4 linked regions of the Struthio camelus genome follow. The protein of the gene in region 2 interacts with the protein of the main gene of each other region in a biochemical or structural test. Links are inferred from orthologs where the notes say so. Each region holds a gene or a part of one and is shown on either strand. Other genes may lie near its edges.

What was found.
Region 1: the proteins of CDKN1A (region 2) and CCND3 form a complex in vitro, tested with the Homo sapiens proteins (2 studies listed by BioGRID and IntAct, with this or other methods). The link is inferred for Struthio camelus from reciprocal best matches to the Homo sapiens genes CDKN1A and CCND3.
Region 3: the proteins of CDKN1A (region 2) and CCNA1 form a complex in vitro, tested with the Homo sapiens proteins (2 studies listed by BioGRID and IntAct, with this or other methods). The link is inferred for Struthio camelus from reciprocal best matches to the Homo sapiens genes CDKN1A and CCNA1.
Region 4: the proteins of CDKN1A (region 2) and GADD45A form a complex in vitro, tested with the Homo sapiens proteins (3 studies listed by BioGRID). The link is inferred for Struthio camelus from reciprocal best matches to the Homo sapiens genes CDKN1A and GADD45A.

Annotation. Positions count from the first base shown.
Region 1 is NC_090965.1:6,406,231-6,414,094, forward strand, and holds the start of CCND3 (G1/S-specific cyclin-D3), read right to left. Parts: upstream 3,038-7,864; 5' UTR 2,919-3,037; coding exon 2,721-2,918; intron 693-2,720; coding exon 477-692; intron 1-476. UniProt on the Homo sapiens protein: Regulatory component of the cyclin D3-CDK4 (DC) complex that phosphorylates and inhibits members of the retinoblastoma (RB) protein family including RB1 and regulates the cell-cycle during G(1)/S transition.
Region 2 is NC_090965.1:4,719,855-4,727,940, forward strand, and holds the start of CDKN1A (cyclin-dependent kinase inhibitor 1), read left to right. Parts: upstream 1-5,038; 5' UTR 5,039-5,102; intron 5,103-6,251; exon of another isoform or gene 6,252-6,500; intron 6,501-7,456; 5' UTR 7,457-7,464; coding exon 7,465-7,864; intron 7,865-8,086. UniProt on the Homo sapiens protein: Plays an important role in controlling cell cycle progression and DNA damage-induced G2 arrest. Involved in p53/TP53 mediated inhibition of cellular proliferation in response to DNA damage.
Region 3 is NC_090942.1:196,579,328-196,587,247, forward strand, and holds the start of CCNA1 (cyclin-A1), read right to left. Parts: upstream 3,146-7,920; 5' UTR 3,036-3,145; coding exon 2,907-3,035; intron 2,814-2,906; exon of another isoform or gene 2,451-2,813; intron 1,862-2,450; coding exon 1,618-1,861; intron 1,405-1,617; coding exon 1,280-1,404; intron 541-1,279; coding exon 317-540; intron 1-316. UniProt on the Homo sapiens protein: May be involved in the control of the cell cycle at the G1/S (start) and G2/M (mitosis) transitions. May primarily function in the control of the germline meiotic cell cycle and additionally in the control of mitotic cell cycle in some somatic cells.
Region 4 is NC_090949.1:37,060,527-37,067,435, forward strand, and holds GADD45A (growth arrest and DNA damage-inducible protein GADD45 alpha), read left to right. Parts: upstream 1-4,617; 5' UTR 4,618-4,710; coding exon 4,711-4,754; intron 4,755-4,839; coding exon 4,840-4,941; intron 4,942-5,024; coding exon 5,025-5,229; intron 5,230-5,612; coding exon 5,613-5,726; 3' UTR 5,727-6,378; downstream 6,379-6,909. UniProt on the Homo sapiens protein: In T-cells, functions as a regulator of p38 MAPKs by inhibiting p88 phosphorylation and activity.

The sequences.
Region 1 (7,864 bases), about 1.7 Mb from region 2:
ACTCCCACGTCATGCCTAGAAACAGAGTCCTCGGCAGCGGGGGCAAGGCAGAGGCGCTGGCCGGCAGCCCCAGCCCCCTGCCGCGTGCTCGGCCGGCTGTGCAGACAGGGGCCTTTGTTCTCCTGAGCTGTCACTCGAGAGCGAACCAGCGCATGGGAGCGAGCCCAGCGTGGCAGCTCCGTGCTGGGAACGGGCACTTAAAAGGCGCAGGGAACTCTCTCGCTAACTTGGAGGCGACGCTGCTGCTTCCCAGCCCAGGGAGCGAGGGCCTGCGCAGGATGAGGTGGTCTCCAATGACAGGCAGCAACATCCACCGGGAAGGAAGCAAGGTTGGTTGGGGAACATGGTGGAAGGCGTTTGGAGAAACAAGAGAAAGGAAACAGAGGAGATACAAACACAGGTACGTTGCCAAGTAGCAGCATGTAGAAGATAAGAGCTGGGGAGGGGACGGAGGGCTCTGAGACAGGGGTGGTTACCAGGAGCTGCTGAGGTGTGATGGAGTTGTCTGTGTAAATGCAGAGTTTCTCCACTGTCAGGGGCATGGTCTCACGCAGCTTGGAAGCCAGGAGCATGCAGACAGCTCCCAGAAGCTGCAAGTGACTTTTTCGCATGGGCACTGAAGACAGGTAGCGATCCACATAATTCATGGCCAAGGGGAAGACCTCTTCTTCGCACTTCTGCTCCTCACACACCTGACAAAATCCAATAACAAAAGAGGAAGTTTTAATCGGCGCCCCGGATCCTGCCTGCACCACAACTTCAAAGCTTCTGGTCATGATGGTGTTTCACACATTTCTGAAGGGCTTTGATGTATCACCTCCATGCTAAGGTGTAAACCAGCTGCAGGTGCAAATCTTAGACTTGAACAGAATTACACTAGAAGAAAATTTGACCAGTGTCTTAAGACTTTGTTTTCCTGTGGAAAGCTGCAAGAGTGGTATGCAGTTAGAACACACAGACAAGCTAAGACCAAAATTGCTTTTACTTGCCCCTGTTTTTATTTTCCCCTGTTGGGGATGTCTACAGGTAGACAACCAGCAAAGCTGTGCATTTTCTGCTCTGTGGGCACTCAGGACCTCTAAGGAAAATTATCATTTCCAGCATGTCTCCAGCTGGAGACCTAATCATGCAGGAGCCATAGTCACTTCTGACAATTCCACCTCAAGTGGCCCAGAGACACAAGAAGAATCAATGGCAGAGTCCGTGGCTGAGCCCAGAAGTCTTTCTTCCCCCTCCTCTTTCTCAACCACACCTGTACCACAGCCATAAACAGAATCCAGGAGTTCTCCATTTCAGTCCCCTGTTCTAATCTCTCAACCAGTATCAAAGCCCTGGTCATATTTACTTCCTTCTTTCAATGCAACCATAAAAATATTGGAGTTTCTCCTCATACAGCAGCAAACAGCACCATTCTCTTTCAAACAGTTACTCTGCCTTTCCCTTACACAGACTGCTGTAAACCCTAGGACAGAGACTTTTTCTAAAAAGAGAACAAACCCCTCAGGGCAAGGCAGTTGTTTTGTGCATTTTCCTTTCTTCCACAGTTTTTAAAGAGAAAGACAAGTCAATTTCAGGTGCAAGTTCTAGTGTCTTACAGTTCAAGGTGAATTTGGCCTGATTTTAACGGGTCAAACATACGGCCCCAGAGCTGCGACTAAATAGCACAAGCCTCCAATTTTGCTTTGTGCCCAATCATGACAACTGCTTAGTATCATTCACTTTTAGACTGCCTTTAGAGCTTCACAAGGAACAGGCTCTAAAGCAACACTTATCTAACTAACCTCCTCAGAAAGCGAACTGCAGAAAGAGACCAACGATAAGAGGGAAAAACCTTTAAAAAAAGCAAGTTGCTCTATTACTTCTTTTGACAGATCAGGCAGCTTGCGACAGCTGCTGGGGTGGAGAGCAGGAGCCAGGCTCAATTGGAACATCATTTGTCCTCTGCAGGATCTGTTATTTCTTTTTTCTATTGAGACCGCTCACCCTGACCGTTTCAGAAAGAGGCCCATGAGATTTCCCCCACTGGGCTGTTTCCCACAGAGAGCTGCATTCATTTTTAACTTAGGGAAGTAAATGGTAGCGATGTTATTTTCCCCCTTTAAGCAAGCGCTCCCAGCCCCATTCAGGAAACTCAAGTCTCTGGACTCTCTGGTGCACAGCAGAGCGCTCTAGCCAGAAATTTTGGAGAGCAGGGTGGGAACAGAGGAGCCAACAATGGTGTGGCAGCACATTGCTGGGGGGGGGAGGGGGGGTGAACACAGGCTGCTGGGCTAAAGGGGGGCTGCTCCTCCCACAGGGGGAATCACATCTTCTGGCCCAACCAACCCTCGCATCAGCAAGACCCCACTGCAGATTGCCTCCCCGCAGCCACCTCCAGGACCCCCCCCCCCCAAATCCCACAGCCCTGACCTCCGGCACACACGCATCCCAGAGGCTCTCCTGCCGCCAAGACCTCTTCCCTGGATTGTCCCTTGCCCCCTGTATGAAGTAACCCCACTGAAAGCTCCCTCCCCCCCAAGTGAACGTGGGACGGTCACCCCTCCCTTCCTTTACAGCACGCCGCCACCAGCTCTCTCCTGCCGGAGCAGCATAGCTCACACTAGCAGCAGGGACGAAAGGGCAAGAAAAAGAGCCGGTGGCCGGACACAGAGCTAGATTTTGAGGCGGGAGAGGAGAAAGAAGCCGGGACCCGGCTGGGGTGGGGGGGGAGGGTGCCGTACCTCGAGCATCCAAAAAGCCAGCATCTTCCGCATGTGGGGCTTGATCTCCTTCTGCACGCAGTGGAAGTAGGAAGCGTGGGGACTGTAACGCTCCTCCTGGCTCAGCAGGTTCTGCAGCACCCGCCGGTCCCCCAGGAGCTGCGGGTCCCGCTCGGCCCTGGGCACACGGGGGATCCCTTCCACGCAGAGCAGCTCCATGGGCCCGGAGCCCGCGGCGGGGGCGGGGGAGCGGGGCCGGAGGCGAGGCGGCGGGCAGCGCGGAGCCAGCCAGCCAGCCCGCCCGCCGGCTCGGCTGCGCGGCTGCGGGGCGCCGGGAAGTCGCCGCGCTCCGAAGGGGCGGGACCCGCCGCCCGCACTGCAGCGCCGCGCTCCGAGGGGGCGGGGCCCGCGCCGCCTCCCGCCAATCCGCGCGCCGCCCTGGAGCGCCCTTGCCGGACGCGGGCGGCCGCCCCGCCCCCGAGCCGGCGCGCCGGCGCGCCGCCAGCACGTGGGGGCGGCCGGGGGGGGGGGGCGCTGCCATGGTGGAGGAAGCGGCGCGGGGGGGCTGGCTCCGGCCGCCCCCCCCCGGTATCGCCCCGTCTCTCAGCAATCCCCCATCGACCCCTTCTTTCACCCCCTTTATTCTCAGGGCGCTCCCATGTGCCTAAGGCGGTGCCGAGCTGTCAGAAGAGCCAGCTGTGTGCCCAGGGCACGGCCACCCCGTCCGAACGGGACAGTCCTGGAACTGACTGGAAGGTTTCCATCTTCATCTACCTCTTCTTTACAACTTCATTATTTAGTTCTATAGTTTGTTTTGTTTTGTTTTATGTCCAGAATCCTTCAAGGCTATGAACATAATCTGCTGTGTGCATACCCCAAGCAGGTCCCTACTGAGCCTGCTTGCTTCCAGAAGTTACCCTCGTGCTGTCACTGGTGCGGCTCCACAGAAGATAGCAACCTCAGTGTCTGCAGAGATAAGGGTTGTCAGGCATTGCTGCTTTTTCAAATAATTAACAATAGTTTGGAAATACTAGCCTTTTCAAATTGTGTACTGAGCAGCTGTTTACGCTTCCTATTTTTCAGGGAAAACACAGACTTTCAAATAACTTTGTACTGTGACTTCCACAGCATAGTAGGCATCTCAAATGGGAACGCTAGGTACTGCTCTAATGGACACGATAACTAAGAATTGGCTCTGTGATGCCAGGTAAGGAGAGTGGTGCCAGTGGGACTGAGGTGGCTCCCTGCAGGTCCAGAAGTACATGCTTAGGATTTGCTCTGGACTGGTACCTGAGCCCACGTCTACTTGCTCTAATTGCTTTTGGGTATGGAGATTAGAGGCAACTGAATATAATTCCGGCCGCATGGCTCTCTCTTGTGTTACTGGCTACAGAAATTGGGATGTTCTGACTTTCCTAGGCAACTCAGTTCAGTCAGACTTGTCTCCTTTGAATATCCTTGAGGGTACTTCTTACATGCCCCCAAACTTCCTAATGTCTTCTTTTCAAAATATTTTATTTTCCAAGCAGAGCATGGAATCACTCCTACTTTCTGGATTGCTTGTGTGTCAGATGTGAAGACTTACAGTTGCTTTTTATCAGCAGAAGACCAGGAAGAGCCAGAAAACAGTCTATAAAATGTACAACAGATTCTATAATTGGAAGACCAGGATAATGGATCGCCTTCAAGTTTGCACATTTAAAAATTCCCCATTGAATTGAAAACATACTAGGAAACTTTAGCTCAGGAGGTCTGTTTTTACGAAAGTTCATACAGGTTGTGAAAAGGAATGTGTCTGAATGAGGTGACTGGCCCATATAACCCTCTGACCATCCGTCACTGGGATGGTGCTGTACTATGGCAATTGCAGCAGCAGTGGAAGCAAATGATTAATTACAATCATAAATGTTCAAGGTGAGAAATACCTTCTAGATTATCTACTTCTCTCACTCTGCTGCTTTCCATTATTCCCTGCAAGTTTTGACTGCCTTATCATCTGAAATGAAGCATCTCAGTAGTACATACACTCCTGTAACACTCCTTTGCTCAGGGCAGTATATTCCATTTAATAGTGCCGTGTTACTGGGCAAAGACCATTCTGGGTGTACTGCGGAATGATAAAGGGACTCAGACTGAGATAAGCCGAAATTCAACTCATAGCAGCAATCCCCGTCTGGAATCGTAGGGGAGAATATTCATGTTCAGAACGGAATGGAGAAATGGAATTTGTAAAAATTGAGGAATTTGTAGAAATTGAGGACTTTGGGGATGCAGTGTCATATAAAGGGGACGCAACTGGAACATCTCTGATGAGTTCTGCTGGAGTACTCCTCAGTATATACACGTATATCCATTTTGAGTTAAGGAACAAAGACCCAAAGGAGTTAGCGACTGAGTCATCTGCCATATAAGTTACTTCTGTGTATGCCATTTCGACACGTTTGGTACTTTTTAGTATTTTCAGTCATCTAAAAACACAGTCTTTTAATCAAGAACAAACATACATAGTTAATAATCAAGCAAAACAAGACTGAAGTCTTTGTTCTCTGTGTTCAGGTGGTGTTTTTTTGCAAACGAAAAAATCTTTTTGATCAGAGGTTTAGAAGTTCAAAATACTACTCATGGCAGTGGACGCAAAGGTCACATATATAACACACTCAGTAGATTTCACACACTAGAATCCTCTTTCTACGCTTGTACAGATGGCTTTCATTTTCTGCAAGGTATATAGTTCATTGCCCGTTAGATGTCTTTCCCTCTCCTGGTCTTTCTTTAATCAGCTAGAATATTGGCTGGGGAGACATGTTCTAGCTACGTATTCTTAATGATAGCATCATCATTGATTTGTTGTGGTGAATGCACTGGGAATACCAGACAGCATGGTGATAATGACCTATAGGAAAAGGAAGAGATCAATCCTGTCCCTGTCTTGAAAGAAAAAAATTGAAGAATCTATGGAAGAGATTTCTGTGGACCAGGCAGCTGGTTTTAATCTGGGATGACCTCTTGTGCTCCACTCCTTCACTCTTTCATTGTGAGCAGCATCCCCCCTTTTGTACAAGGAAAGCAAAGGACCTCATGTCCCACATTTATAGTAAAAATAGACAGCAGCTATTTTCTTTAATCAGGCAAAGGGAAACCACAGCGCTGGGTTCTTGATCCCTCTGTTTTCTGGGCTGTGCCTTTTGAAATTGAAAGTTTCAGGCCCTATTCCAGACTTCATGGTCTTTCTCCCATTTCCCAGTGTTGGCACGGTGGTTCGGCTGAAGCCGGCCTTGGTGGCAACCATGGGCCATAGGACACGGAGGGGGGAAGATGAAGCCTGTTGCATAAGAAAGTGTTCCTTCCAGATGATGACTTGGCAAAACTGGTGCTTCTGCAAGCCACATTATCAGGCTAGAAAGGCAAATTACAGACTGCAGGCATCCTGAAAAGCCTATTGTGTGGGTGTGCGGAGGGAAAAGAGAAAATTCCAGGAAAACCAAATTTTGGTCACTGTTGTCCATAGATAGTCAACTTCCTGGCTTTGGCAGTAGACAGCACAGCAATATTAAAAAAGGAAATTCCTTCAGAGTAAAAATAAAAAAAACTGATGGTTTCTAGGCTTCCAGGATCTCAGACCAGCAATGTTATTCTTTGCTGAATCATAAAGGGGCTCATTTTTTTGGTATGATGATAATGAATTAAAGAGAGTCACCAGCAGCTGGAGCTTTTAAAGGAGCACTGTAGATGCAGGTCTGATTCTCAGCTGATGGTCAGCTGGTATCACACTTAGGCTTGGATCAAGGTTAAAGCCATTTATCAGGCTGGTTATTCAACAGGGCCATTTCTGTAAGCTCTTCTCTGAAGAAGGGTTTCAGCTGGCAATGTCACTTTGCATCAGCAGTGGGCCTGGCCCTAGAGGATGTCAACAAAGGATCAGTATCTTCTCTACGCTGCTTTCTGATTTCATATATTTTATAGCTGTGTTTCATCCGATTTTGATCTACCATGAGCTAAGCCATCTTCTTCCTTGGTCATACTGCAACTACAGCATCATCAGTGACATCAAAATGAAACTGCTTAACATACATCAAGGACCTGAAAACCAAATCCAATGAGCAAATAACTACATAATTTGCTGCAGGAAATCCCCAAAATAAAATGAAAAACAGGTACCATTTTGTGCATGTGAGAGAAAGAGCGAAGGCAGTACTTCACCCTTGCTATTTTAGGATTTCAAAGTACTTCACAAATCTTAATCTGTTAGATTTCACATCCAGTTTCCCCTAAAGTGGAGGGATATTGCAACCATTCCCAGCAGGAAAGAATAAGGGCTCTGGCGTACAAGGGCAGCAAATCATGCGGTGGCAGTTTGGTGTCGCTGTCTGCGATTGCCAGAAGTCCTTGCCCCTTTAGAAGGAGGTGGCTCAGCTTACGGTCGGCCATACACACATAAACTGCTGATAAAGACAGGCTGGTATTAGCAGGTCAGGCTGTGGAGCATACACCCTCATCTGCTGCACTGCAGCAGCAGGGCAGATGGCTGCAGGGAGACAGCACGTCAGCCCGTCGCAGACATCTGCTTTAGTTGCCCATGAATCAGAGGCCACAGGCACAAGGAGTTAAGTCATCTTCCCAGACTCATTCAGTCATTCCCTGGTTCAGTGGACAGGGGAGTCCAGGATTTCCTGGTCCTGCTCCCATGTTTAAACACAAGACAACTGTCTCCCTCCATTGCTGGCTCGCTCTCCTTCTTCATATCTTATTCATTCTTTACTTAGAAAAGTACTTCCACTGACTTGAAGGGAAGTTTGGTTGACTGCAAGTTCAGCATTGGAGGATTTGACCCAGGGGATGTGTTTCCTAATAGCTTTCCTATTACTGGCAACCACAGCATTCCCTTTCCTCTGACTTGGGCAGACTTTTGAATACAATTAATTAGTTCAGAGTGATATCATCTGAACACTGGATCTCAGCAACGCTTAGATGTATCCAGTTATGATACATATGAGCCTTCTGAAGAAGAAAGCGTGCTGCTTCAAAGGTCAAAACACAGCTTTCCTATTAACGCAAAAATATGATTATTTAGAGGGACTCTTGGTACAGCTTGGACCAATTGTCTGTTTAAAGCAAAATAAAAGTGTGACTGTTGATACTGCTTGAGTTTATGCTGTATCCAGCCC
Region 2 (8,086 bases):
ACCGTTTGCGCTTGGTGGGATCCTGCCGCCGCTCTGCCGGGGCCGGTGTCTCATCAAAATGCCTTCATAAATGGAGCAAACGAGGGCTGGAGATGGCAGGGAAACAGTCAATTAACACGATCCAAGTCCTTTTAGGGGCAGAGTTAATCAAGCATTCAGCGTTTTGTCATTCTTGCCTTTCTTTCCTGGGAAAATCCTATTAGTCTAAAAATCACTTGATTGGGCACTTCAAAGAGCTGATGGGAAAACAGGCTTCGCTGGGATGTAAACGCCGTTCGGCCGAACACTGGCTTCTTTTAGGCTTTTGCTGGAGCGTGAGTGTTTCATTAAGAGCCTTCGCATTTCCCACTTAAAAGGAAAAAAGCTTGTTAGGAGAGATAATAATAATAAAGAAATCTTGGCGATTTTAATCCTGCTGAGGAGGTTTCTGCTGCCTGAACATTCATGGCTTGGCTTCGTGGCGTTGTCCTCGGCAGAGCCTCTTACCCCTCCGTCAAACGCGTCTCGAACCCTGCTCACCCAGCCGAGCCGTTTCACACCTCCTTTGCCTACTCTCGCAAGCGACGGCTGGTCGAGGGAGAAAAAAAGCCACCGGGGCTTCACGTGCTCGATGGGTGACCGGGCCATGCCACATCCGCAGGGTGCTGCCGGCCGCGTTTCGCAGGACCCACGTCCTTCCGGGCTGCAAACACCCGAGCGCTCGTCCCCCGCGGTCTGCGCCCGAGCGCGGAGAGCGGTAACTCAGGCCTTTGCAGAGCCTCCGTTTATCCTACCTGGAAAAATAACCCGGTGCTTCATCTCTAAAGACCCGGAGGAGGCTTCTCCGCCTGAACCGCTCCCGTTTCTTCCGCTGATACTAGTCGATGTAAGAGGAATACTGCGTTTCCCGACAAACCTTGCTTCCCCTATACCCTGGGGCCACCGAGTTTCAAACCCGACAGCGCGGCGGCCGATGGGGGAGGATTTGGGCTCGGCCGCTGGGCGTTTGCTCACCGCGTCCCCGGAGAGGCCGAAACCGGGTGTCGGGACGATCCGCTGGGACCCGCTCCCGGCACGGCGCGGGGCGCTGCGTCCCGGTGACTCACCCGGGAATCACTGCTTCGCATCCGTGCCCGGAGCGACTTCCCGGGCCCGGCGCGGGGCGGGAAGCAGCCGAGGGCGTCCCAGCCTGGACAGCCGTGGAAGACAGGCGCTTTGAGGACTGTGATTTTACTTTTCCTTTGGTTTCAGCCTTCGGAGCATGTTTACAGACAAATTATGAGGCCAGGGCACGCTCGCTTTTACCAACCAGCTGCGGGTACCCTGTGAGTCAGGGTTGGGGACGCCCTGGTAGGAGAGTGATGCTGGGACAGGAGAGCTGACACCGCTGCTGACTACAAGCGGACGGGGAGAAGGAAGCAGCCCAGCGCCGGTGCCGCTCTCCAGCCCGGCGCCTCGGCTGCTCCTCGTCCCCAGAAGGACTCAACACCATGAGTCACCTTGGGTTTTTTCTCCTTTCTGGCCCGCCTTCTATTAATCACCACTTTTCCCTCCCCCCCCCCTTTTTTTTTCTCTCGCTGTCACTACAGAGGTGACCGTGAACTCTCCGACCCGACGCCAGTCCTCTCCCCGCTTCCCGTTTCTGATCAGCCACCGTGCCGAGGTCTTTCAGACCCTCTCTGGGGCCCGGCTGCTCCTCAAGCCCAGCCGCCAACACGGGGCCGCCTCGAGCCAGGCCGGAGCGGCTCGGCGGCTGCTGCCCCTGCCAAAACCGGGGGCGGCGGGTGGCGGGAGAGCAGTCGGGTCCCTGTTAAAATCAAGGCTGGAAGAAACCTGCCATCTTGCGCTAAGTGGACCCTAAACCCTTCCCCATCCAGAAACGGTAGAGACAATTAGGGAGTCGCTTTTCTACGGGAAAACCTGCGTCCGCTTTTAGCTGCTGGCTGGCTTCGCCTTAGTGAGGGACGTATCTCCTGAAAAGCCGCGTAACTGGGGATTTCGCGCCGGCCGGACGCCTTGGTTGGTTCTCTCTCGCTGTTTTGCTGTTTCAATCCGGCCTCCCTCACTGCAGTTAGCGGCAGACTGGGCAAACAAGCCCGCTCTTTCGCCTGCCGCTCTCGGGCGCTCATTGAAAAAGCGGCTGGTTTTGACAGTCCCGTTCCCTTTTGCTGATTTGCGGCATTTTTCTGCAAAAAGAGCTCATTTAAGGAATTCATATCCTTTCGGTGGATGCTTCTTCATCTGCGGTCCCTGCGAGCAGCTGGAGGCGGAGGTACCGCGTGGGGGATGCACCCCGCGCTGCTGCTGCTGCTGCTGCAACCGTGTCGGTGCTTCTCCTTCGGTGCCGATTGCGTCTTTATCAAATCTAGGGGGAGCGAACCAACACACTGCAGCTCATATGGCATTTTGCGAGCAAATGATATGCTAATGTATTACGAAGCATGAAACCTCTCCGCAGTGCAGGTCTACAAGCAAAAACCGTTCTCACGTGAACACAGCAGCAGCGGCTGCCCGTAAAGGCAAGGCTGTTCCAGCTCCCCCGCTGCTCTTGCTGCGTGCCACGGACAGAGAGACACGGGCTGGATTTGTTGTGCTTGTTTTTAGAATGAATTTAAATGCATGAGCGCATGAGTTACAAAAGCCGAGCCCGGCGGGATCTGAGAGCGTGCTGGACAGCGGACACCAGCTCCGAGCTCTTCCGAGCAGGCTCCAGCCCCTGCCACGTTAAACACTGCAGTAAACCCCGCAGCGAAATCTAGGGGAGCATTTAGGTCTAGCTTTGCCAGGCTTGGCTTTTTTCTGCCATGCACAGCATCGTTTTGGGTTGCTTTCGCGTTCCCCGGAGGCTCGCAGCTGTCCTGCGGGGTGAAGGGACGCTCTCTGCCCGTCCCACCGTGCCCGCTCGGTGCAGGGAGCCGCGCGGGGCCGGAGCCGCCGCCAGCCCGCGGGGTCTGCGCCGGCCTTGCCCGGCACGGCCAAGCAGGGACTGCGCCGGGGAGCCGCTTCGCGGGACAGTCTCCAGCTGAACATGCCCAAACATATTCTCGACTTGTCCGGACCGATGGGGAAGCTGCTGGTGCAGCCGGGAAACGGGCCGGTGTTTTGCATGCTGAGGGTCTCGCTTCCAGGAGGGCGCAGCACCCAGCACCCACCCGCTCCGGGGGGCTTCGAGGGTGCCTGCCGCCCTGGAAGAACAACTGCAAGTGAGCACTTTAACTTGGGTGGTTTTGGTCACTTGAAAACACGCAGCTTTTTGTACCTCGAAAGAGACAAACCCACCCAGCTTTATTTGCCCCCTTGTTGCCCACATCGTGGTTTCAGAGGTGCTTTCCACCTGGGCTGTTTACTCCACGCTAAGAGGAAGCTGCAGAATACGACACCCCCCGCCCCCAGCACCGCCGGCGTCGAGGGCATCAGCTCTCCCACTTCGGGGCACAAACAGCCCCGCCGACCCCTCTCCTACACCACGCACCGACCGCCGTGCAGCCAGACGGACGCACGGCACGGGTGCCCTCCGGCTTTGCAACCTGCCTGGCCCCCGGACAGGGTCTGGCAGCGCCTGGCGGCCGGGGAGCATCACCCAGGCTGGGCAGCCTGGGGGACAGAGTCGTCCCCTCGGTTAATTCATCACCCCCCCCCCCCAGCCCCATTTAAATCCTCCACATTACAGCGACTCAGCAGGCAGGAAAACCAGTTGCCTGGGAAAGGCCTGGCTGGGACGTGGAGTCCCCCCCCGCCCCCCACCCCCAGCTGCAGCTTTGCTGTCTGAAGGTGAAGGACCGGACTTAGAGGGGGAGGGTGACCCCTGCATCCCTTTTTGGAGGGGGGTCCCTGCATCCCTTGTCCAGGATGTCCCCCAACTGGGGGGTCCCCGCATCCCCGAACTGGGAGGGACCCTGCATCCCCAGACTGGGAGAGTCCCGGATCCCTGGACCAGGGGGTCCCTGCATCCCTGGACTGGGAGGGTCCCGGATCCCCGGACCGGAGGGTCCCCGCATCCCCGGACTGGGGGGGGGGTCCCTGCATCCCTGGACTGGGAGGGTCCCTGCATCCCCAGACTGGGAGGGTCCTGGATCCCCGGACCGGGGGGTCCCTGCATCCCCAGACTGGGGGGGTCCCGGATCCCCGGACCGGGGGGTCCCTGCATCCCTGGACTGGGAGGGTCCCGGATCCCCGGACTGGAGGGTCCCTGCATCCCCGGACTGGGAGGGTCCCCACATCCCTGGACTGGGAGGGTCCCGGATCCCCAGACCGGGGGGTCCCTGCATCCCCGGACTGGGAGGGGGTCCCTGCATCCCTGGACTGGGAGGGTCCCTGCATCCCCAGACTGGGAGGGTCCTGGATCCCCGGACCGGGGGGTCCCTGCATCCCCAGACTGGGGGGGTCCCGGATCCCCGGACCGGGGGGTCCCTGCATCCCTGGACTGGGAGGGTCCCGGATCCCCGGACTGGAGGGTCCCTGCATCCCCGGACTGGGAGGGTCCCCGCATCCCTGGACTGGGAGGGTCCCGGATCCCCAGACCGGGGGGTCCCTGCATCCCCGGACTGGGAGGGTCCCCGCATCCCTGGACTGGGAGGGTCCCGGATCCCCAGACCGGGGGGTCCCTGCATCCCCGGACTGGGAGGGTCCCCGCATCCCTGGACTGGGAGGGTCCTGGATCCCCAGACCGGGGGGTCCCTGCATCCCCGGACTGGGAGGGTCCCCGCATCCCTGGACTGGGAGGGTCCCGGATCCCCAGACCGGGGGGTCCCCGCATCCCTGGACTGGGAGGGTCCCGGATCCCCAGACCGGGGGGTCCCTGCATCCCCGGACTGGGAGGGTCCCGGATCCCCGGACCGGGGGTCCCTGCATCCCCAGCCTGGGGGGGGGGTCCCCCCCGTCGCCGGAACAGGGGGTCCCCACATCCTCGGACTGGGGGGGGGTCCTTGCCCCGTGGGGGCTCGCCGGGACGAGGGAGCCCCGAGCCGGGAGCGCCGCTGCCCCGCAGGGCCGGGCCGGGCCGGGGCGGGGCGGGGCGGGAGGGAAATCCCGGGTGAGCGAGCGGCGAGGCCCCGCCCCGGCCCGGTATAAAGCGGGGCGAGACGCGCCGGGCACCGGCAGACGCGACGGGACGGGACGGCGAGGTGAGTGCGGCCGGTATCGCCGCCGTCACCGGCAGCCGGAGCGGGGGGGGGAGCCCCGACAGGCAGACGGGGAGGGCGGTGGCGGCGGCCCCGCGCCGGTGGCCCCGGCAGCTCCCCGCTGGAGGGGGCGGCCGCGCCGCTGACTCAGGGCCGGTTGCATCAGAGCGGCGCCGGGCTCGGAGGGGGCGGCCGGGGGGCGACGGCCCCGCGCAGCCGCCCCGTCCCCTGCCCGCCGCGGGGCTGCCCCGGGACCGGGGCGCCTTGGCCGGGCGGCGCTCGCCCCCCGGCGGGCAGCGGGGCGCACTGCGGGGCCGGGGCTCGGCTCGGCCCGGAGCATCGCCCCGTCGGTGCCCGCTGCCTCGGAGCGGCGAAAATAACCGGGCTGCTGCCGTTGGGAGGGGGGAACGGGAGGTTTCCAGTTTAAGCTGTTATCTGGAGACGTGCGTGTTCCGCCGGACTAAGGCGACCTCGCTCCAAAATAGCCCTCCTTGCTGGAGAGCCCCAAGGACTCACCAGTGTCGTGAGTGGGGCATCCTCTGCACTCTGCCCCTCTTGCAGGGCAGAGGCAGCTGGCTCAGGCTGGCCCACCTGCAGCGAGCTCCAGCAGCCCTGTGCTGGGGTGCTCCTGGCCTCTCCTGTCCCCTGTGTTTCCCACAAACTGGTGTAACTGGTGGAGGGTAGGTCCTGGTGTTGCACAGGTGGCTGTGGTGAGCAGTGCTGCTGGGGGGGGGTGTGTGTGTGTACATCTCGACTCCCCAAACAGTGCCTTGATCTCCCAGCTCCAGCTGGGTGAGGTTTTCTTAATGCAACCATGAACCTGCATCACCTGTTTGCCCCAGTGTCAGGGTTCTCCAGCTGGAAGCTCTCGTTTTTTGAGACGACGGTGAGACCGAGTCAGCCCCGTGGGAGGGGAAGGTCACGTCTGCCCCGTCCTTCCGGATTTGGTGGCTCCAGCACCGATTCCGTGCTCTGAGTCAGGGTGACGCTGCTGCCACAAGGTGCAGGGGCTGGCGGGCGTCTGGCTCGATGTCGAAATGCGTTCCCTGACTGCTACCTGCCGGGGCTTGCTGGGACATGCTGGGACTTGCCTGGCGATGAGGTCACCCGCGGAGCCGGCTCCGAGATAGGAAGCTGAATTGCTATTTATACTCGGGGATGCTCGGCCCTGGGTTGAGGCAGGGCTGGATCAACGCGAGCGGAGGGTTGGGGCAGCCTCGGGAAGCACATGGGGCTGGAGGCTCCCCAGGGGTCTACTGACTGCCCGTGGTGGTGTGTGTGGAGCAGGAGATGCCAGCTGCTTCAAAAGGGGCTAAGCACTGGATTTGGGCAGTTTTCCATGCTGGGTTGGCACTGGCTGACGCTGCTGGGGGTTGAATACTCCAAACTTGGGGAAGTGGGGTGAGTGTGAGCCTGGGGGTCTGCAGCAGTCCCAGCTTTGGAGCTCCCTAATCGGGTAGAAGAAGACCGAGGACTCTGTCATGCATGCAGGGAGTGGGTTGCTTTCTGTGAATCTGTTAATGAGATTTAATGAATACTGCTAACCAAAAGAGGATCAAGTCCTAGCTTGGAAAACCATCGAATCCCAGCCAGGGTTATATTTGCCTTGCTCAGATAAGAGGCTCCTGGTGCAACTGTGGGCTGTGGAAGGGATCCCATGCCTGTGTGAGGAGGGGGACTGCTTGGATGGAGGGCTCTCTGCTACTTAACCATAAAGGTCAAGGCTCTTGGCATCGATCTGAAACAGTCTTGTCCCTGGTTACCCAACAGCTTCTTGCAGATGACAAGGATGGTTAGCAAAGTGGCTGAGCCTGTGGTGTATTCTTGCTGCTTGCTCAAAGGGCTTCCGTGCCACCGTGCCTGGGTTCTCAAGATTAAGAAATGGGCAGAAAAACATCCTATTGCTTCACTTGCCCGTGTGCAAGCTTGCCCTGTGCCCATGTTGGGGTGGGAACCCAGTGGGGTTTTGGCTCCAAGCCAGTGCCGAGAGCACAACTGGCTGCATTGATGTGTCAGAAGCTCTGGTAGCTCTTGGACCTGGTGGAAGAGGAACAGTAAACTTCAGTATTTGCCCCTTCCCCATCCTCCTGAGCTGCACCCAGGTTGTATCTGACCTCAGTTGTGCTCAAGTCTTTCCCTCTGCCCAAGACACCCCTGAAATCCTGAATGCCTGAGTCCCAGGCCAGGTCTGGCAGCCAGAGGCAGGGAGGTTTCCACTCTGTTAGCTTTGCTGTGGGGCCAAGCCTTGCCCAGCCTGGCTACTGCACGTTTTGCTCTGGCAGCAAACACGCTGGCCCTCCTGCTTGCTTGCAGCTTGCGCAACACCCCTGTAACCAGTGCTGCTTTCCTCCCTGCAGCTGCCACGATGCCTCTGTCGCAGAGCAGGGCTGGCCAGCAGATGCCCTGCAGCAGCAAGGTGTGCAGGAACCTCTTTGGCCCTGTGGACCACCACCAGCTCCAAAATGACTTCCAGGACCTGTTGAGGCAACAGCTGGAAGAAGCCCAGCACCGCTGGAACTTTGACTTTGAGACAGACACACCCTTGGAAGGATGCTTCAAGTGGGAGAGGGTTGTCTTTGCTGACCAGCAGCTGCACAGCCCATCCAAGGCCAACAGCAGTGGGAGTTGGAGCTGCTCCTCAGCCCACAAGGTACCCTCCAAGGACCGTCTTGGCCAGGCCTGCTCTGAGGTGCCTCAGCAGGGCTCTGAGGCTTGCACGGCTGGTTCCCCACAGCGCTTGAAACGCAGGCAGACCACCATCAAAGGTGAGTGCTGGAGGCTTAGTGTCCCTCTGTGCTGGCAGTGGCATCTCCCCATGGTGAGATGGTGTCATGACCACCATGGTTGGTGCCCTGACTCCCGTGGCAGGGGGAGATGGAGGGGACTTGGGTGTCTGGATGTGGAGAGCCCTGGCTGGCTTCTGGGCATGGAGAGGTGGGGAGGGATCCCTCTGCCTGGCTGCAAACTGGGTCCTTGGGGATAGCAGG
Region 3 (7,920 bases), on a different chromosome or scaffold from region 2:
GTCTAAGTGCAGATTGCCACTTAATCTACTACAGCCTTATAGCTGTAGTCTGCAACTACAGCTATATAGCTGTGAGTCTGCAACTTACAGTAGTTTTCCTCCCCACGCCCATTTTTTTGCTTCCAGCTTTATGGAAAAAAGTTTCCTTGATGTGAAGGTAGGAACATTAGACATTGAATTTTGTTAGTGCCAGAGCTGGTCAAATGGCTAATCTTAAGACATCATGACAAGCTACCTATTACTGCAGGTAAGTTAGTTCAAATTAAAAAATAAGTTACAGCCTTCTAAGTTTTCAGGAGATGATACAAACACTTACGCAGCCAAAAGAATTGCTGCAGTTCCTACAAGCTGCAGCTTCCCTCTGAGGACAGACATGCAGGAAAGAAACCTGTCCAGGAAGTTCACTGCCAAGTACAACGTCTCCGTGCGAAGTTTGTATTCTTCCCCTACTTCCACAAGCCAATCTACCAAGATGGCACGCATTCCTGTTGTGATATCTGGTTGTTTCCTCATATAGTATGGCTTTGGCCTGTATCTTATCTGCTCAGAAAGACAGGTGAAGAATTAGGACATTCATCTGAAGATGACCATTGATGGCTGAGTTTAAGGTATTTCACACTTACACCAGTAAGCCAAAAGTAGCAGAAGTAGTTCAACAATTGATAGCTAGTTAGTATTAACTAGCTATTACTTGTAGTCGTATTAAATAATAGCACCTCTACTAAGTTGCATGCTAACAAGAGACAGGAGTAATCTGTTAGTAGCAGAATAGCAAAAGACCTCTTGGACACTGAAGTTCAGCCTTTGCCATCAAGGCCATAAAAGCCATTCAGAAAAAGGGACCTGAAAGTAACTTTAAACAAATCAGGTTTCTTCCTTATTGGAAGGTTGTTCTTTTCCTTACCCTTCTGCATCAAAGTGGCAAGGTAAAGCTCTCTGATAACAGGAGAGCTGTCAGTGAGGTCACATCCAACTGCTTTAGTTTTTTTGCAGCATTTGATTCCCATCTGCAAGAACTATTTCTGGAAATTTGTCTTTAAGAGTCAAAAGATGCTGTAACAATGAGTATTTCCAGGAAGCAAAGTAATATTTGCAAAATCTCATCACTGTCTGAAGCCAGATTCATAGGCAGCTTCTAAAGACTGTTTTTGCTACCTGCTTTCTCCACTTTTGTAACTCAGTAGCAGGCTAGGGTCATCTTGGGGCAGCAATAAGCTTTGCAGCTCATCACAGAGTCCACAAATACCTTAGAATTATAAACTTGTAACAAATCACTCACTTCAGCTTCTCGGAGGTACTGATGAATGTCTTCTGCATATTCTCCCACAGTCATTATAGTTATTGCATCTCCCATCTGATCCTCAGGTTGGGATTGGAAGGATGTATCCACTATCATAGGAGACCCTAACAGGTTAGAGGAGCCAGCAACACATTTGATTAGCCTCCTCACCTTACTCTTGTCATTTCCAACACAGCAGATGCATTGTTGATCACAGTTATCTTGAAGTGCTATTTATTTCAAGATAAGCTAATCACTAGCTTGTGCTAACACCACAATTCATAGCTACCCTATGTGGATCTCTGCTATACTACTCGGTTAGTAGCCAGAACAGTTACCTGTACTCAGATCCAACAGTAGGTGAATATTGGATGTCATTGCACTAGTATCCAGTTCACACAGGCTAGAGTCCAGCTCTTCAACCACTGGGCAGTTGTAGTTTTCCTTCTGTTCTGGTTCATCTATATATATAGTAAACCCTTGCTTTGATGTGGCATCGACCATGCAGCTAGGCAATTCATCTTTTCCAGCTGGAGGGAAGCAGTTTTCAGAGCCAGAGAAATGTCTGATAACCATAGTACCCTGGAACAGAGTACACAGTAATGCTACAAGAGGGCAGTTCAGAAGATGACAGTAATTATAGCTTATTTTAGAGAGGAAGAGGAGTTGCTTTCTTTGGCTAACACAGATACCAAAACTCTAGAAGTTAACCAAGAAGAGAAAAAAACAAAAGAAATTAAAAACCTCCCCATAAACACAGAGCTACAAACAGCAGTTCAGAAATCTTGCTTGTTACTGTCTTGCTATAGTAGACACTTCACAGGCAAAGCGAGGTATACTGAAAGGTAAGAGCCAGGCGAGTCCTGAATAGCCTCTTCACCACTGCCTGCAAAGGCAAGCCAGCTGAGGCCAGCCCCATCAGAAACAAGCAGTGGCAGGTATGGGCTCTGCTCTGTCTGCAGTTTTTGCAAGCAGTGCTTATTTCAAGGCATAGCAAGCTAAAATATCACATGGAAGTTTTCAGAAGCTACCACAAACTCATGAAAGACTTCCCATAAAAGGAGGCACTTCATATTGAGTTACAAACCACAGTTTGCACCTCAGGACTCCAACACCTCAACACCCAGGGACTACAATGTGTGACCAGCAGGCAGTGCTTAATATCACTCACTTGTAATAAGCCATCAACTGAGTTAGGGGCTTTACACAGTCACAGCTGCAAAAAGCCCTTGTATAGGCACCAACTGCTACCTCAGCTCCAGCAAGCCAGCACAACGCTTCTGCCACAGCATCTGATTTCAGGAGGGCTTGAAAGGTCCAGGACACTCACTCTTCTGCAAGCTTTAGCTTTCTGGTGGGTACTCTGGCACCCACCAGGAATCACGGCCAGCCGCGGAGCAACGGGACCTTTGGGTCACCAGCAAACAGGCACCTAAACTTCGCCACCCCCTACCCTTCGTGGGGCGGGGGCAGTGCTAAGGCAAAGCCTCCCCGAGTCTCACCTTGCAGGAGGCGCTTCCGCCCGGAGCGCTCCCAGGGCCACGCCGGCGGGGGCGGTTACCGCAGCGGCCGCCTCCCTCCAGCCCCGCTACCTGCGCGCCCCCCCCCGCCGCTGCTGGGGGCTCACCTGGCCGCCGGGCCGCCGCCGCCGCCGCTGCTGCTGCCCGTTCTCCGCCAGCTCCCCCAGCACGGCCCGCCCGCCGGCGGCGCGGGGCTCCGGCCGCCCCGCACGGCTCTTCTCCCCGCTGCGGCGCATCGCCCCCGCGGGAGACAACAGCGGCAAACAGGCGACGAGTAGTTGTTGGTTGCGGCGCCGCCGCCTCGGTGCTCAGGGAGCGCTGCTGGAGAGTGGAGCCGGCCCGCTGCGCTGCGCTGCCGCCCCGCCGCCCCCTATATAGGCCGCGGCCAATGGGCGCCGGCGGCGGCTGTTGGCTGCGGCCAGTTGGACGCCGGGGCCGGCAACCCCCGGCCGCCGCGGCCCTGGCAACCCACGCGGCGGCGGCGGCGGCGGCGGTAGCGGCGGCGGCGGGTCGCCATGGAGACGCCGGCCCGGGGCCCGGCCCGGCGGGTGCCGCAAACCGCCCCGGCCGCGCTGCTGCCCTCGGCTCGGGGCACCGGCCGAGGCGGCCTTGGCCCCGCCGCCGGTGTCATCGGATTTTGGCGCAGGCAGGAGCCCGGCGGAAGCGAAGAGAGGACCGTAGCTTAGCGGCGTTTGATGGAGATACCGGGAGCGGTTGGGAGGAGACCGACGGAAGCCGGCCGCGGCGTTGAAGGCCGCCTGGATGGCGGATATGCCAAAACCAGCAGGCGGCTTCGTCTCCGGAAAAAGGAGGGCTCAGCAGGCCTGCCTGGGCGTGGGGGCACGCGCCGAAAGTTCGCGCTAGGTTTTGCTGCATCCGAAATTCACCTCCAGGCCTTTCTAGCGTTGGCATGCTAGGGTGAGCCGGGCACCCTCATGTTTCGGGAGCAAACCCCGAGGGACCTCGCCCCACCTCTGTGTCAGCAAGAGCAGGGCCCCGAAAAGCCTCGCACAAACCCAAGCGGAGCAGAGGCGCACCACCTCCGCCCGGAGATTTTCACTTCAGTCCAAGCAATCCCACGCAGCCAACTCCAGCAGCGGCCTGCCCGGCCGAAAATAGGAGAGTCTCATTTTAAGCTCTGATAGGCTTCAGATATCAGCTATGTTTTCCAGAAACAGAGAGTCGTTATATATAAGAGTCTAATTCTTTCAAAAGTGAAAAAGAGCTACTCCGCTGAGCTGTACAATTGGTGGCCAGGGTCAGAAATTGCCAAGAACTAGCTGAAATCAGGTGTCGGATTCTAATTTTTCCCCTAGTATTCCTGTGCCTGCAAGTGTCAATGTTCAGTATGTAGGGCAAAGCGAGGCTGATCTAAAAATTAAAAAAAAAGAAAAAGCAGTTAAAGAGTAAAATAGTAGGTGTACACATACAAATTCTCCCAGGGTGAAGAAAGGTTTGCAATAAGAGAGATTTTCATTGATCTCAAAAGCAAGAGGGAATATATGGGAAGTGGAAGGTAGACCAGGATGACCACAGTAGTGGGATTAAAACAGTTTATAGGGTCAAAATCATAAGAAAAGAGCAAAGATAGAGCAAGGCAAAGCTAGCAGGAGACATGGAGAATAACATGAAGAAACTGACGGTTACACTGGTAACAAGAGAAAGACTAAGGAAGGATTGGTATGCTATTCAACAAAAAGAGCAATTTATTCACAGAAGACATCAAGAAAGCTAAAGTATTTAATTTCTTTTGACATTCGTTTTCACCAAGAAGATTACTAGTGACCAGGAGACTAGTATTATGCCAGCAACAGAAAGGACCAAAAAAATTTGTCTTTAAATAAGGAAGGAACAGGCAGGAAGGAACCAGCTGGACCTGGTAATTTTCTCCTGATGCTATTGAAGAACTTGGTGATGAAAACTTGGAGAACTGCTAGTTCTCTTTGAGAGCTCTGGCAGGACGGGCAAGTTACAATAGAAAGGTAAAGGGATGCCCATCTTGAAAGAGGAAAAATAGGGAGTCAAGATTCAAGCCAGATTAACTCGAAATCCCAGAAAAGTGTGAGAACTAATAATTAGTTATTAGCAACTATTGAGTATTTATAAACACCTAGAATATAACAAAAAGTTGTACAAATGACAGCATCAGCTTGCTGGCAACAAATCAGATCAAAACATTTTGAATTCCCTCAGTGATGAAGGAAAAACTGGAAAAAGGAGATTTTAGTTGATTTTTGTCAAGATTTTACTCTCACGACACTTTCATAAACAAATCTCAGCAAGGAGGCAATTACAAAACTGGTTGCAAAGCTGTACATAGAGAAGTTCTCAGCAGTTCACTAAGGGCATGCAGAGTTTTATAAAGTGAATTGACATCTGGAGTTGTCCAGTGTCATCAAAGATTTCCACCAGTGATTGGGATAATGAAATGAGAGCACCCTTACTAAATTCGTGGATAGCATAGCATCATGCTGATGCATGATCACGCGTGAAAGGCTGCGACTATGCTGTGAAACAAGACTAGATTTCAAAATGATCTTGACATACTGGAAAATGTTCTGGAAAAGTAGGATGCTGCTCAAAAAAAGACAAGCGCAAGGTTCGACCTCAGTCATTTTGTTTTTTACCTTTTTTTTTTTTAATGAGAGGAAGTAAGCGGTATATCTCAAGTTGAAAAACGTTACCTGTTTGATGTACTGGCCATATACCATTACTTTTCCTTTTCCATGGGAAGAGTTCCATGTCCTTGCGACAGTACGGTTATAAGCAGGTATTAAAACAGAGCTGTCACAGTTTGCAGGGCGGGGGGTGAATGCAGGTCATGGGTACAGCAGGTTACAATGTACGCTTCCTGGATCCTGTGTCCTTCTCTGTCTTTCATGTCATCTCAAACCCCTAGATAAAAAGTGTTTTCCAGAACTGCACAATAAGCAAGACTTCACTCAGGGATACGTCTTGAAACAATTTCATGCAAAGTTTTAATTTCAGAAAAAAATCGGTCTAGCTCACAGTCTTTGAAATTAAACGTAGCCTCGAGTGCAACTCTAAACACTCCTTATCCCATTGTTTTGATGGGATTATGCAAAACTCTAAAAATAATCCTATGTAGAAAATGTATATAATCTATAGCAGTCTGAGAAGATGGATGTTAATCAAAAACTTTGCTAGATGTATGGACATTCCATGTTTTAACTAAAAATTTCAATTTTTATTAACATGTCTAAACAAAGGGCTTTTGAAATCTACATATTTTATCCATGAAAAAAGGCCATACTTTTTAGTGATAAAGGAAGAGAGAATGGGATTTTTCCATCAAAGTGAAAATTTTCAGTGACCTCAAATCACAGTTTAGCAACATTATTTTACTTCATGAGTATCAAGACTCCAATATCAGCCTCTAAGTATATTTTAAGTAGGGAGCACTACTCCTCCGACCTTAAATAGGTGCTGGTTAATAGTTTCAAAATCTTTTTTGAAAAGAATAGAAATTGTATGTCCAAGAGTAAAATGTTAAAATGCAAAACATAAGGGAATGACTTAGGAAATTAACTGCCTCAGAACATGAGTGAGATGATAGTTCTTGGGCTCAGATCCCTAAAAACATTTGCATCCCCAAAGTAATGTCAGCATAGTCTGGCCTGTCACTGACAAGGATTGCCTGGCTTCAAGCCACCCAAGGCTGCAGCCATCCTTGTGCCAACACTAGCATTTGGGTGGTCATGAGACAAACCAAGGACCTGATCCACCTGAAAACAAGCACAACAACAACAATAGCAAAATATTTTTTCCAAGTGAATCAGTTATCTGCTCTAGGTTTCTAGACAGCTACGTGAATTGTAGGGCCAGCACAAAGGACATTACAAACGTGCAGTGCCAGCATCAGGGTAGTAGTGGGGGTGATGCCATTCCCATCAGCCCCCAGCTCAGATTATGCTGGACTAAGTGTCCGTGTAAACATAGCTTCCTTCCCTTTAGCCTTAGCAGACTTAAACTCCTAAACCTCTTTAGACCTAGCCTTCTATGCATGAATAATTTTAAGTGCTTTTTAATTTTTCATAATTTTGAAAAATTTATCTCATCCTTAATCCATTTTGAAAATATTAGTTGTTCTTTCAAGGGATTTTCCTCTGGTGGTGCCAGAGCTGTTTTTCTTTTTCAGTAAAAGCATCTGGGTATGATATTGAGATAGATGAAACATTATGCTAGTGCTTATTTCCAGGAAAGGTAAATGCTGCTGTTGTGAACAATTCCTGTAGCTTATCAAAGTAATCTTACCTCTGCTCTGCCCAGACCTATTTTCCTAACAGCTCAGTGTCTCTTTATGGTATTTATCACAAAAAATATATGAACTTTATAGTTACAGATCTAACACATAACTTGCATTCATACAAAGATCACAAAAGTCACTCATAGCCAAATACAGGAATGGAATTTATGTACTAAATTTGTCTTAAATCAATGAATGTCCTTTATATCCAAATACCCATCATATTCATATGCCATTTAGGCATAACCAAAGAATGTCATCTATCCAACAATTTTTTGTTTCACATACAAATAGCATATGGACATCTTCAGTAGTCATATAATACATTAATGGAACTGAAACACCTCTCAAATAGCTTATAACGAGGTTATCCAAGCTCCAGTTTCTCAGGAACTCTTTGAGATAGCCCAGTATGGACTAGCACCTGAGGGAGGCCAGTAAGCTTTGCCAGCCATTACTTAATTGTAGCAACAGATCAAATCAAGCTTTGGGTCATTAATCATTTACCTCTGAGCTTCCCTGTGTGTGTGTGAGAGAGAGGCAACTGAAGCCTCCCTGCATGGACTCCTTAGAGCTTCTCTCAGTAATTACTGTCTCATTGAAGACTATTACGATTTCTAGGAAGATGGAGAAGTCAGATCAATACCTGTCTAGGCGAGGCTGCTTCCTCTATGGCCCTGGAAAAGCTAGTATTAAAGGGATGGTTAGAACCTGTCTCTGCCCTCTTGTAGATCTTTCCTAGCTCTTTCTCCTTTTGCTGCTGCAGTATGTGCTTTGAGTACGGATATTTCCAGGTCTGCCACTTGGTTTTATCAAAGGGAGCAGGACTTCCATCGACCCATGCCATGGGAGCA
Region 4 (6,909 bases), on a different chromosome or scaffold from region 2:
CTATAGCAGGGGATGAGAAGAGTCCACTACAACTGCCCCCATCAGAGATAGCTGCAGTGGGAAGCGATCACGGGCAACTTTTACAACAGGGCTGCCACCAGCAAAGCAACATACACGCACGCTCTCGGGCAGGAACCTCACTCCAGACAGTTTGATAACAAAGTTAGCACAGCCTGGTACACTGGTGACTTTGGTAAAACACCTTCGTCCCAGCTGCTGCTGCATTAAATCAGGACAGCTCTGTGACTATTACAGGCTTCACACGATGGTCAAGAAAGGTATTTCTTACAATTAATAACACAAGCTGTAATGCCTGTGACTCACGGGAAAATTACAACGTGGCTTAACATGAGCCAAACTAGACACCAAGGGAATCACTTCTTACACCAGAAAGATGCATGAAGAGCTTTAGCTGTCGGGAAACACCAGCCATGCTCCAGAGTTACACTGCTGCACTACTTACATCTGGAAAGATCCTCAGTCCCTGGGCTGACACTGCCCACGTACCAACCAGCCTAACGGTGCACCAACCGTCCACCTGTCTGTCCATGCAGAGCCACCTTAGACTGTCCCCTCTGCATCTGCAGGAGCGACCTGCCTCTAGTGATGTGGTATCCAACAGCTGGGAGTAAGCATTAGTTGCATTCAAGATCTAATGTTGTACCAAACACACATAAGCAGACACAGCACTGGTCTGAACAGCGGTAGAGCGTGAAGCAGGGCATGTGCTGTGCTGGCCAGCGCTAACGAGACAGGGAGCCAAGCCATCCTGCCTTGCAGGGAACCCACCCCTTTCTGCAGCTGGCACCACAGCCCAAACGGACCTTGAACGACCGCACAAACAGATGGACGAACGACCTGAAAGGAAAGGATTTGTTTCCCCTCAAAGTCTTCAGAGGTTGTTTGAAACCACTTCTGTCTCCTCTCCACTCCTACAGAGGATGGCACTCAGCTGAAACATGGCCTGAGCTTCCCCTTCACTCAGCAGCGATACGCCAGCACGTGGAGTGGACGTATCCAGGCTTGCCGTGAACAAGCTAGCGTGGGTATTGCTAACAGCGTGTCTGCAGCATCCGTGGCCTCAACCTGGACTAGCCCCACAGTCTTGACCCGGGCCCCCCACTGCTCTCCAGGCTGCCTTCCCTGTTGATAGCGCTCGCCTCACCAGCTCCAGTGTGTCTGCAGGCAGGCAGAGCTCTGGCTTCAGAAAAAATACACTTATGAGCAACAGGTTTTTCCAGCCCCAAAAGCTAGAGGTACCTGTAACTACTGCAGCACAAGCAACGTAACACATCTTGCTGAAAAGTAGAGAAGTCGCTCATTTTGATGTGCCTTTTGCCTCTGGCTGCCTGGGGCAGACCATCCGTCCTGTAGCTCTGACGTAAGAGTTTGAGACGAGAGCTCCTGAAGCTGTCGCTGAAGCTTGTGGTATTTCTCAATATGCCATGTCACCTTTCCTTACCAGCAAGGCTGGAAGTGAAACTACAGTGTTTACTATAAACAAAGCACGTATTTTAAGGCTCTGTTGCCTTATTTACCTCCCCTGGGTCCAACACTGATAACCACCAGAGTGTCCCAAATACTATAAGAAGCAGCAGTATGTCCTATAAGGCAGATGTCTGGGGGTACAGACATTTTCAGGGCAGGAACCTGGCTTTCACTCAGAATCTCTGGTGAAAAGGTCTCATCAAGCTTCTGACTTTTTTTATGAAGGAAAAGCAGGAGGTAATTCAAAAACAACAAAAGACGTCACAACACATACAGATCAGAAAACATGTCCCAAGATACAATGCAGACGTGAAACTTGGAGCTTGTTTTAAAAAAAAAAAAAAAAACTGGAGGAAGACTCCCAAGTTCCTGGAAGGATGATAACATGCACAGGACATTAACCTCAGCACTTGCGTACCCAGAATCTCAGACTGTCTCCAAGGCTGTAGGTTAGGTCACATTGTGCAACTCAGGACAGACGCTATCTGCAGTACGCAGTTCCCGCCCGCCTTCCTCAATTTACTCTTGGCACTTTTTAAATGCAGCTACAGCTATACTACTGTACACTGTAAAAACCTCTTTTAATGACATTAAGCCAAGTGACCACTTTATCACATTCTTATTGAAAACCACAAGTCAAAATATTGCTTTCACTCTTGCCAATGCTAAAGACTGTACTAGATATTTCGCAATGTGTTGTGCTTAGGTTTTAAAGAGCTAGTGAGGTTATTTCCTGAGTGCCTTGGCTTTCATTGAAACAGGAATAATAAGGATGCAATCTTTATGCTTGAAGGAAAAAAAGAAAACTTCATCTTAATTGTGAATTTGTGAATTTGAAGCCAGCCTTGTGATCTGTGCAGGCCTAATGCGTGACAGGATCCAAATACTCTTAAAATGCTCTGGTACAGAAAGACATGCAGTTTTCCTAGACAAATCCTGTTTTCCCTCACTGAATAGAAAGCCAGAGCAAGATTCGTGACTTCTGTAGTAAGTGCGTACCTGATCACAACTTAAACGTTACGTGGCAGTATTCCCATGACTTCTGTCTGAGGGTACAGACCATGCTCGAAGCTGTTGTCTCCCAGTTATCACTGTAAATCAGGGATGTCTGGAACGCTGACTCACAACGGAAATGGTGGAAAATGAAGTACCTGCGCTGAAGTAGGAGCAGGCAAACACTGTGTCACTTGGAGCTTGGCTGGCCACGAGCCAAAGACCTTGGGCTTGGCCTATCCTAGGGGAAAAAAAAAAGAAAATTAATGTGGGGACGTTAAGATGATGTGTTCACTCTGAATAGGTGTTGCCCATTGTATGACACAAGAGCTAAGGCGCCACTGCTTCTCCGACACACGGCTCGGCTCTCCTCCTGAGAAACCACACAGCAAAAGCAGGTGAGCAAATTCAGCTAAGTAAGCTCTCCTCTCAGAGAAAGTGCAAGTTCAGACACATCCGTGGGGGCATACCTTTATACTTTAGCTTTTCAAGTTTTTAGAAACGGGGCCGTGTTCCCCCGAGCACGTGGCTAATGGCCAAACCAGCCCTGACAAGCTCTACCTTTGGACACTCCCTCCCCATCTTCGTCTCGGTACAAAGTTTTCTCATTTCTGCTGCGTGAATCAGCATTTCCTACATCAATCATTTGCTTTAACAAATGGGACCTTTAGGAGGAGACTCGGTCCTGAGAAGAGGGCGAGCGAAGAGATGCATTTTGGTGCGTTACGAAGAACGCTTTAGGGCGATTTACCGGCTGTGCGCTTCGTAGCTGAGCTCTGAATAAAACAAGTCGGAGCTATTGCTTTACCCCTGCTCACCGCTCTTTACTCGGGAAAGCAGGTTTTGGAAGCGGTGGGCGGCGCATGCAGAGGCGCATGCAGAGACGCTCTGGCCAAGCACTCTTACTGCAGAGGGGGCGCCAGCCGCTGCAGGAGGGGAGGCGCAGTCGACGTGCTCTCCCTGGCTAAGCCACGGTTAGTCACACGCGCCACGCGGGGAGAGGCACCGCGCAAGGCCCGGCGCCTCATGAAAGCCTGGTGCCTTGAGCGCCACGCGAGGCCAGGCACCCCCTGAGACTGGGTGTCACGTGAGGCCGGGTGCCACACGAAGCCGGGTGCCGCAGTCACCACGCGAGGCCGGGTGCTGCAGTCACCACACGAGGCCGGGTGTCGCGGTCACCACACGACAGCGGGTGTCGCGGTCACCACATGAGGCCGGGTGCCGCGGTCACCACACGAGGCCGGGTGTTGCGGTCACCACACGAGGCTGGGTGCCGCGGTCAACACACGAGGCCGGGTGTCGCGGTCAACACATGAGGCCGGGTGTCACGGTCACCACACGACAGCGGGTGTCGCAGTCACCACACGAGGCCGGGTGCTGCGGTCACCACACGACAGCGGGTGCCGCGGTCACCACACGACACCAGTGTCGCGGTCACCACACGACAGCCGGGTGTCGCGGTCACCACACGACACCAGTGTTGCGGTCACCACACGAGGCCGGTGCTGCGGTCACCACACGAGGCCGGGTGTCGCGGTCACCACACGAGGCCGGGTGTCACGGTCACCACACGACAGCGGGTGTCGCAGTCACCACACGAGGCCGGGTGCCGCGGTCACCACACGACACCAGTGTCGCAGTCACCACACGAGGCCGGGTGTCGCGGTCACCACACGACAGCGGGTGTCGCGGTCACCACACGACACCAGTGTTGCGGTCACCACACGAGGCCGGTGCTGCGGTCACCACACGAGGCCGGGTGTCGCAGTCACCACACGAGGCCGGGTGCCGCGGTCACCACACGAGGCCGGGTGCTGCGGTCACCACATGACAGCGGGTGCCGCAGTCACCACACGACAGCGGGTGCCGCAGTCACCACACGACAGCGGGTGTCGCGGTCACCACACGAGGCCGGGTGCCGCGGTCAACACACGAGGCCGGGTGCCGCGGTCACCACACGGCCCGCCCGCGCCACCCGCCGCAGCCGGCAGCAGCCGCCGCGCGCAGCAACAGGCTCAGGCTGCCGGCGCGCGGCCGGGCGCGGCGGGGCGGGGCGGGGCGAGGCGAGGCGGTGGGGGGCGGGGCGGAGCTCATTTGCATGGTCCAATTAGAAGGCGCTCATGCAAATGTGACCGGCGCGGATTGGCCGGGCGCCGGCAGGGTCCAGCGCGCGGGGCGCCGGGCGGTGCAGTCGGCGGCGGGACGCGGAGCGGGTGGGACGCGCTCGCCATGACGCTGGAGGAGCTGCCGGGGGACCGCGGCGCCGCCGGCAGGTAGGGCCGGCCGGGAGGGCGGCGGGGGCCGGAGACCGGCGACCGGTCCGGTCCGGTCCGGTCCTGAGCGCGGCTGTGTCGGCAGGATGGAGGCGGTGGGCGACGCGCTGGAGGAGGTCCTCAGCAAGGCGCTGAGCCAGCGGAGCATCACTATCGGCGTCTACGAAGCGGCCAAGCTGCTCAACGTGTGAGTGCGGCCGGGCCGGGGCGGGGGGAGGCGGAGGCGGCAGCGGCGGTGTCTGAGGCGACGGCGTTTCCCCCGTCCCGCAGGGCAGCCGACAGCGTGGTGCTGTGCCTGCTGGCGGCCGACGAGGAGGACGGCCGCGACGTGGCCCTGCAGATCCACTTCACGCTGCTCCAGGCCTTCTGCTGCGAGAACGACATCAACATCCTCCGCGTCAGCAACCCGGCGCGCCTGGCGCAGCTGCTGCGCGCCGCCGGGCCGCCCGCCGACCTCCACTGCGTCCTGGTCACGGTGAGCAGCCCCCCCCGTCCCACCCCCGGGCCTTCCTCCGCTGCCCCTCGCTGGCCCCGCAAGGCAGCGGCGCTGGGTGTTGCCGTGAGGGTCGCCAGGTAAAGCGGGAGCGTTAGGGGGTGCAGGCCCCCCCTCCCCCGAGCCCTTGCTCAGGGTGCAGGGGCTGGGGGCGTCCTGTGGGCGGATCGGGAGAAGCTGCCTGTGAAGGGCTCGGGAAGTTGTTTGTCATCTGAGTGTGAGCTCAAGGATGCACGGCAGGCTTTGTGCATGCTTTTCTCCTTGTTTTTCTAATTCAAGATAAGTGAAGTCTTGGATTCTCTGCTTTGTGTCTTCGTGGGGGTCGTTTTTCTTAAAGCAGCCCCGTTTCTCCCTTTTTTTTCCAGCACCCCCATGCCTCCCAGTGGAAGGACCCGGCGCTGAGTCAGCTGATGTGCTTCTGCCGGGAGAGTCGCTACATGGATCAGTGGGTCCCTGTGATTAACCTTCCCGAGCGGTGATAGCAGCCGGATGGAAACTCGCTGAACACAATTGCACTGAAGTTTTGAAATGCTTTAGCAGTTGCTCAGGAAGTAACTCCCTACCCTGACACAAGGATTACAGGAGGAAAAAAAATAAATAAATAAAACTGAAGTCAAGTGGGGTAGACTGAAGTCAATCTACATGTTGTGTGGGACTGAAGAAAAGTGACTCCGCAGCTGGCAAGCGATGGGAATGAACACGGAAGCGAAGCTGAACGAGCAGCCTTTGTGCTGCTAAAGGAATTAAAGCCTGCCGGAAAAGCTGAGACACTGTATGGCTGAGTTACTTAAAACACCCAACACCCTTAATGGTTTTTTAAAGTGCAACTTAGAGTTTCTGGTTTAAGTACCTTAAACATGAAAGAGCAAAAAGGTTAATCAAAACACTTTTACACACAATTTTATTGTATTTTGGGATGTTAATTCTCAAGTTTATATTCTAAGATATATAATAAGTTATTTTATGATATTGATGGAAAACTTATTTATGCTACAAGCTTTCAGAACCAGAGTACCCTTAAGCAGTTGGTCTACAACCATACCACTTCTTTTAAAGACAGCTACATTAATATAATTGTTTGAAATTGAATAGTGGTGTTTTTTTTTTTTTAAATAAAAAATTTAACCTCAACTCCTTTGTACTAAGTCTTACTTTCTTGCATTCAGTAGTGTGCCCTCAAAAAGGCTCAGCTGGTGACTGGGGGCCCTTGTCAGGGACAAGAGTGCTGCATATTCAGAGCTTGTGCAGGACCTAAAATGGCACGTAGGCTTTATTCCTGGCCCCTCCTACAATCGTAAAACTAAAAAGTAGCTGATGTTTTGCAGGTACTGCTACTTTTTTTTTCTTGACCACTGGCACTTACAGCACAGTTTTAAATAAATAAAATTAACTTTAGAGGCTGCAGCACTAGTAGAGGGCCTGAATCCTAGTGAGAGTTGGGGAAACCTGACCTGTTTCAGTAGCAAAACTTTTCTTAACGTCTCCTCTTGAGAAAAGCTGTTAACCTGGTTGGCTGACCAGTATTACACCATATCCCCAATGCAAACCCTTCTGCCCTTTCCTGAATTTGATCTTTGTGTTGCTCCTGCTTATGCGTCAAAGCAGGGGAGGAAGGAATGCTGGCTTGGGAGGGTGCAATGATTGCAATCAGTGTGGGCATCC